Sus scrofa: one gene and its partner. The protein of the gene in region 1 purifies or fractionates together with the protein of each later gene. This does not show direct contact. Links are inferred from orthologs where the notes say so. Each region holds a gene or a part of one and is shown in the gene's direction. Other genes may lie near its edges.

Evidence for each region. Proteins that work in one complex are often made in the same cells at the same time.
Region 2: the proteins of UBXN7 (region 1) and KLHDC3 purify together in Homo sapiens (affinity purification with mass spectrometry; 3 studies listed by BioGRID and IntAct, with this or other methods). This does not show direct contact. The link is inferred for Sus scrofa from reciprocal best matches to the Homo sapiens genes UBXN7 and KLHDC3.

What each region holds. Positions count from the first base shown.
Region 1 is NC_010455.5:133,741,743-133,745,389, forward strand, and holds part of UBXN7 (UBX domain-containing protein 7), read left to right. Parts: intron 1-1,309; coding exon 1,310-1,703; intron 1,704-1,806; coding exon 1,807-1,886; intron 1,887-3,181; coding exon 3,182-3,343; 3' UTR 3,344-3,647. UniProt on the Homo sapiens protein: Ubiquitin-binding adapter that links a subset of NEDD8-associated cullin ring ligases (CRLs) to the segregase VCP/p97, to regulate turnover of their ubiquitination substrates.
Region 2 is NC_010449.5:38,079,834-38,083,580, forward strand, and holds the start of KLHDC3 (kelch domain-containing protein 3), read left to right. Parts: upstream 1-1,079; 5' UTR 1,080-1,143; exon of another isoform or gene 1,144-1,153; intron 1,154-1,906; exon of another isoform or gene 1,907-2,066; intron 2,067-2,217; exon of another isoform or gene 2,218-2,337; intron 2,338-2,382; exon of another isoform or gene 2,383-2,997; intron 2,998-3,276; 5' UTR 3,277-3,335; coding exon 3,336-3,489; intron 3,490-3,668; coding exon 3,669-3,747. UniProt on the Homo sapiens protein: Substrate-recognition component of a Cul2-RING (CRL2) E3 ubiquitin-protein ligase complex of the DesCEND (destruction via C-end degrons) pathway, which recognizes a C-degron located at the extreme C terminus of target proteins, leading to their ubiquitination and degradation.

The sequences.
Region 1 (3,647 bases):
TACACCACAGCTTGCGGCAACACTGGATCATTAATCCTCTGAACAAGGCCAGGGATCAGACGTGCATCCTCATGGATGCTAGTTAGATTCCTTTCTGCTGAGCCATGATGGGAACTCCAAGTTTAGTGAAATCTTGATATTAGAACTTTTCCAGGGGGAAAACTACTGAAATTTGCTTTTCTCATGATCACAATGAAAACCTTCATTGAAATTAAGCTTGGGAAAATACAGTTGTTTTTTCCCTGTTTATTATGTGGTATTTTGTTTTGTTTTGAATGTTAAAGATCTGTTAGATTTTTTTGCAAAATGATCGTTACTGAATTATTTATTGATAGTCTTCCATGTACCAAAGCAGTGCTAGTTGAAGTACACAGTGATATCTTTCTCTGTGTTTAGTCATTTTTATTTTTTTATTTTTTGCTTTTTAGGGCCACACTCGCTGCATATGGAGGTTCCCAGGCTAGGGGTCAAATCAAAGCTGCAGCTGCTGGCCTACAACACAGCCACAGTAATGCAGGATCTGAGCTGCGCCTGCAACCTGCACCACAGCTCACAGCAACACCAGATCCTTAACCCACTGATCGAGGCCAGAGATTGAGATGGTTCCTAGTTGAATTTGTTTCCACTGTGCCACGATGGGAACTTGTGTGTTTAGTCATTTTAAAGGCTAATGTTTGGGCTTTAAATTTAAAACCTAGTTCTTGTCTTTTTCTGGATAGGGAATAAATTGTTTTCTTTTTTTTTTTTTTTTTTTTTTGGTCTTTTTGTCTTTTGAGGGCCGCACCTGTGGCATATAGAGGTTCCCAGGCTAGGGGTCTAATCGAAGCTGTAGCTGCCGGCCTACGCAACAGCCACAGCCATGCCAGATCCGAGCCACGTCTGTGACCCACACCACAGCTCATAGCAATGCCAGATCCTTAACCCACCGAGTGAGGCCAGGGATTGAACCCACAACCTCATGGTTACTAGTCAGATTCATTTCCTCTGCACCACTATGGGAACTCTGATAAATTGTTTTCTTGATTTTATTCACCTTGATTCCAAAACAAAAAATGCTGTGCTTGTAGTCACTGTGCCAGGTAGTATGTATGAAAGTTTTATTTTTGTTTTTAAAATTCCATTCCAACTACGCTCTGTAAGACAGAGTTGTTGCCCTCAAATAGCTTAACATTTAGTAGAAAAGATAGCCTCTAGAAGAAAATAATAATGGCAAGCTATTACATTTCTTATGCCCTGTTTGACTTGATTAGTTTTTGGTTTAACTCTTTCCTTTTTCTTTCTATCCATGTTTTATAACTGCATCTTGCAGGAGAGCCTTATAGATGCAAGTGAAGACAGCCAACTAGAAGCTGCCATCAGAGCCTCCTTGCAAGAGACACATTTTGATTCCACACAGACAAAACAGGATAGCCGCTCAGATGAAGAATCTGAATCTGAACTTTTTTCTGGCAGTGAGGAGTTCATATCTGTGTGTGGCTCTGATGAAGAGGAGGACATAGAGAATCTTGCCAAGTCTAGAAAGTCTCCCCATAAAGATTTGGGGCATAGAAAAGAGGAGAACAGAAGGTCACTGACTGAGCCCCCTGCCAGAACTGAGCCTGGAACAGCCACAAATCACCAAGGGTTACCATCCGTGGATTCAGAAATATTGGAAATGTCACCTGAAAAATCCGATGGAGTGGTGGAGGGCATAGATGTAAATGGTGGGTTACATTTTAGACGTCCTTTACTTAAAACTTGAAGGGGTTTATTTATTTGTTTAGTCTTCTATTTTAAGCTCCTGTATTTTCTTAACCTTTCCTTTAGGACCAAAAGCACAGCTGATGTTGCGGTATCCAGATGGAAAAAGGGAACAAATCACTCTCCCAGAACAAGCTAAACTACTAGTAAGTATATCTAATTGGATACATTTACTTGAAGCAGAGAAACTAATTGGCATAATTAGCTTGATGGTTCTTTGAAATGGTTGTTAGGTCTGATCTCTAACTGGAAACTTAACAGTGGTGAATCTTAATTCTAACTGCTTTATTTCCTTCCCAAATTGTCTTGGACAACTCACCTAGTCTGTTCCCTTTAAGGCTTTTCTGTTCCATGCCTGCATATAATAGAAATCCAACTGAAATTATTACCTGGAAAGAGGGAATGGGGTTAATTGAAGACTATAATGAGGCTCCTGGGTTTCCCAGTAGCTGGAACTGCAATGTAGTTAAGAACCAAGATGATTTTTCTGTGTATTTCCCTCCTGGGGCCTGTTTGATTACCCTTGTGATTCTCTGCTGCATTCCATTCTTCTCTCTCTATTCTCGTGGCTTTTGTGTATAGTTTGTAGATAGTCCATTATAGTAATGCTGTGAGGGCCTTTTCTTCCATAGTCCACAGCTGATGGTCCTTCCCTCTGTGTGTGTTTCAACTCCTGGAAAAGAGAATGAATCTGACTTGCTTAGCCCAGCCTGTGAATCAGTCCTTGAGTCAGGTCCATGCCTGGCCATTTGCTATGGCTGCAGATAATTTAGAACCTTGACTGGAATGCAGCGTCTCTGGCTTCTGGTGCTTATACTGGACTGTCTCCCTAATCTAGTAATTGGAAGGGAATGGGAGATGAAGACCAAATATAGACCACTTTTTTGAGGTGGTTGGTTGTGAAGCTAGAATGGGGAGTGGGCAGTAATTAGAGGGAAAGAGAAGATTGAAGGAGAGACTGAGCATGTGAAAGTCTGATGGGAAGCACTAGTAAAGGAGTAAAGGAGATGTTGATATCTATAAAGAATGGTGTTCTCTAGTGGCACAGCTTCTGAGAAGGCAGGAAGTAATTCAGTGCACAGGTGGCAAGATTGGCTGTAGGTGGGCTGAAGGACATGTCTTCCCTGATAAATAGAAGGAAAGAAAACAGATAAGTGTTTAAAAATGAGGGTAATAATTTTATAAACAAAAATTGGGTTTGTTTATTGGAGAAATAGTGATAACTCTGTATATTTCAGGATCACTTGTTGACTCTAAATTATTGGATACAGGTTTATTTTCTCCCCATCTGAAGGTTTATATTGGCCCTTCCACAAGAGGGCCAATTATATGAAAGAATAACTTATATCTCATCTAATATAAAAATTAATGTTATATTTTTAATTCTTCAATATACTCTTTATTTCCATCTAACAGCTTTGTCTTTCTTTTATTTTCACAGGCTTTGGTGAAGCATGTGCAGTCTAAAGGATATCCAAATGAACGTTTTGAACTTCTCACCAACTTCCCTCGAAGGAAACTCTCTCATCTGGACTATGACATTACATTACAAGAGGCAGGCCTTTGTCCTCAAGAGACTGTCTTTGTACAGGAAAGAAATTAACATCATGGCCTGACCTCTCTCAGCTTACCCCCCTTTTCCCTTTACTCTGAGATACGATGTCACTGAGTATGCATTTTGGCTCATAGGACCATAGAGCCAAATTTGGGCAACAAGTCACCTGCCTTCTCTCTTATTTCTTGTTCTCTCCTATAATCAGTCTCTCCCTAACTACCTCCCCTCTTGTTTTCTCTCCTTTCCTATTTTCTTCTTTTTCCTACTTTTCTCTTTCTTACCTAATCTGGTGACCAAATGGAAGTGTTAGGATAAGACCTCCTAGTACTGGCAGCAGGAAATAGGTGTTCCA
Region 2 (3,747 bases), on another chromosome or scaffold:
AAACATTGAAACGCCCAAGTTTCCTGCACCCCACAACACCTCTCCTGGACTCTCCACCTCTTGAGCTGGCTCTTATCTCCAACCAAGGCCCACTTGCCTTGCTCCGACAATTCTTAAATAACAGCCCAAGCGAAGGCCATGCCACCTTCCAAAAGACACCCCTTCGGGAACGCCCTCCCCCCCGCCCCATCCACTTAGGAACTCCGGGTCACCAAACAAGCTCCCCTAGACAAGGCATACCCGCCCCCTTCTCTCCTCTCTAAGGGATTTCCCTCTGTACCGCCTGATAAACGCCCTTCGGACCCCAGGAGATCCCTTCAAATGGCCCCAGATGTGGCGTCCCCGACCCGCCCCCACCAATTCTCGGCGCCGGTATTTGCGCGCGCCTCACCCGCTCAGAGCCCGCGGCCGAACCCCGCACCTTCACTTCCGGCGAGGCAGGACGTTCCGAGGCGGCCCCGTCCTCCAGCCCCGCCCCGCCGCGCTCATGATTGACACGAGTGAAGGCGAAGGGTCCGCCCCTTGCTCCGCCTCCACCATCTTCTCGCCAAACAAAGGACTACATTACCCGGTAGGCCCCGCGGTTGTTTGTGTTTGGTTTTGTTTTGTTTTGTTTTGTTTTTTTTAATTTTAGGGCCGCCTGTGTAGCATATGGAAGTCCCCAGGCTAGGGGTTGAATCGGAGCTACAGCTGCCCGGCCTACACCACAGCCACAGCAACACGGGATCCGAGCCGCGTCTGTTACCAACACTGCAGCTCGTGGCAAGGCCGGATCCTTAACCCACTGAGCGGGGCCAGGGATCGAACCCTCATCCTCTTGGATACTAGTCAGGTTCGTTACCACTGAGCCGCAACGCGAACTCGGCCCCGCGGTGTTTGATAGGTATAAGCACATGCGCAGACTCCTCCGACTCCTGCCCATCCTTCAGCCCCTCGCGTTCCTCCCGAAACCGATGGACTACAAATCCCGGTAGACTTCCGGCACTTAGAGCTGAATGCACGTGCGCTTACAGCTGCCCGCCGGAAGGACCGAGCCTGGCTGTGTTTATCTCGTTGGAGATCCAGTCGGCAGTTGGCGGGCAACGGGTTCAAAGCTGCAGGCAGCGCGAGGACCCGCGGCCCCGCCCCGGCCCGGCCTGGCAGGTAGCCCGTGGTGGGTTGAGGGACGAGGAAAATCATAGGGGATGGGGACGCCGATGCCTAGAGCTGAATTGTGGGGGAGGGGCCGGAGACCGATGAGGTGGGGGTGGGGAGGGGGATGACGGGAAAGGAGAGTGTTAAGGGGGAAAGAAGGGCTGGGGGAGGATGGTGGGGAAAGCGATGGGAGAGACCTGGTAACTGGAGAAGGCACTGAAGGGAACTGGAAGGAAGACTGGGTTAGGAGGAGAATGGGAAAGCTGAGGATAATGGAAGAAAAGGGCGGGGGTGTCTGGTGTTGTGGGGGCAGGGAGGTTGGAATGACTGGAAGAAGACCCGGATAGCGTCATATACAGGGAGGAATATCTCTGGCCGAAAGGGGTCAGGGGATGTTAGCTTGTTTCCCCCCTATCGAAAGAAGGAAAATGGAAGGCTGTCGGGGTGGAGCTTGGAGTTGTGGGAGAAGGAAAAAGCAGAAAACTGCAAAGCTCTCAAGAGATCTGAAAAGGCCAGAAACGGAGAGTGAAAATTGCAAGAGAATAGGAAGGGGGGCAGGTCTCTGAAAGGCATGGAAGAAGCTGGAGAATGCCGCAGTGATGGAGCACGGACGGGAGAGCCCCAGGGATCAGAGGCGCCCGGGAGATGCTGGGGCTTGTCTTTCATGAGCTTGAGTTGTCCTTTGGAGAAGACGCTGAGGGTTTTTTCCTCTACCTTTGGATGGAATTGCTTCCCTCTTGCCCAGTGAATTCTTTACTTTACCTTGATATAGCTGAAGAGGAGAGTAGAAGCTGTGAGGGAAGAGGAAGGACCCCCATTCTTAAGCTCTCCAACTTCCTTCCTATCTGTCCCCACAAGCCCAGATCCAAGAGCTTTTGGATTGAGGACGGGAGTAATGAAGTGAGAGTGGTTTCCTGCTGGGGCTATTTCAGGTTTGGCAGAGTGGGGGAGGGTTGGGGGAAGTTGGGTGGGGGCAGGGGTCTGGCAAGCCAGCTCAAAGCCCTGTGTCTTTCTTGCAAGGGACCTTCCTTTACTTGAGCTTTTTCTGTGCCTGAGGTTCGGGCTAGCTCTTCTCTCTGCCAGGGCTTCTTGAACAGGGAGCAGATGATCCACCCAAACCCAGCAGGTGCCTGCCAGCGAAGGCAGTGCCAGCTGCAAGAGGATTTGTCTAACAGAGCCTTCAAATGTACCCATTATCTCTAGGTTGGTGGGTTGTCTTGCAGAGACCATGACCGCTCATGCCTGGGTCTTTTTCTTATCCTGACCAAAGGCATTTTTGTGTTCCTGCTCCTCTCCAAGGCACATCGCCACCCCCATCCCCTTTCAGGGCCCCAAACGGGAAAAGAGCTGCTGGAAACAGCTTGTTCCTTACCACAATGGCAGGGTTGGGCAAGTGGCAAGAGGAGAAAACCCCGCCTCCCCACCCCCACCCCCTCAATCCCCGGCAGACACATACCTTTCTGGCTTAAGTTCTTGGCAGCATCCCAGGCACAGCTGTCAAAGGAACTCATCGTGCCTGTGAGGGGCCCTGGGTGACCCTGCTGACAACAGCTCAGTTGCACAAGAGCCCCCCAGGAGGGGCTAACTGTCCATGGAAGTCCCCGTCCCGGATTCATCCCACCCTGTCCTGGATAGAGGGACTGTTCCTCTCTGAAAGCCTAAAAGCTTTTCAGCTTGGAGACACTCATGCCAGCTTTCAATGGACCGTTTGGGGCTGCCTGGGCTATTCATAGCTCTGAGTATTTTGAGATCCCGCTCCCCACCTCAAAGAGCACACAGATTCTTAGAGAGGTGGCAATAAGCAGAGCAGAGCCAGAGAGAAAAGAGGAGCTTGGGCCTGGCCAGGGACAGGGTGGAGCCTCGGTAAGTAGGAGACAACCATGTTAAGCCCTTTTTCAGCAGCCGAGCTGGCAGTCAGGTCAGAGTGGCCCCACCCTTCACTGTTGGAGAACACAGGGCCGGGGGCCAGCTCCCTGACCTCAGCAGCTCCCTTAGTACATAGCCAGCCACCTGAGCTGCAGAGGGGTGGTGTGGAAGGGCCACCAGGGTGACACTTGGAGGCCAGGGCTAGTCCTGGGCAGAGTCACGGTGAGCCAGGCAAAGGCCTTGCCTGAGGAGCCCACGGTCCTAACTTGTGTGCAGGTAGCAGAGGCAGCAGGCCGTGCCGGGGGGGCATGTGGCTGTAACCAGTGGCCCAGGGGATGTTACGCTGGACGGTGCACCTGGAGGGCGGGCCCCGCAGGGTGAACCATGCTGCAGTGGCCGTCGGGCACAGGGTGTACTCCTTCGGGGGTTACTGCTCCGGCGAGGACTATGAGACGCTGCGTCAGATTGATGTACACATTTTCAATGCAGGTGAGCTCCCCTGGGGACCATCCCTGGGCGCCCCCATCAGGGAGGGCAACTGGGCGGCTGAGGAAGGTTTGATGTGGGTGCCTGCAGCCAAAAGGGATGGAGAACACGCACATCTGGTTTGGGGAGAGGTGGATAGCCTCAAGGGAGGTTCCCAGGGCTGAGCAGAGCTGTGCCCACAGTGTCCTTGCGTTGGACAAAGCTGCCCCCGGTGAGGCCCGCCACCCGCGGGCAGGCTCCTGTGGTACCCTACATGCGGTA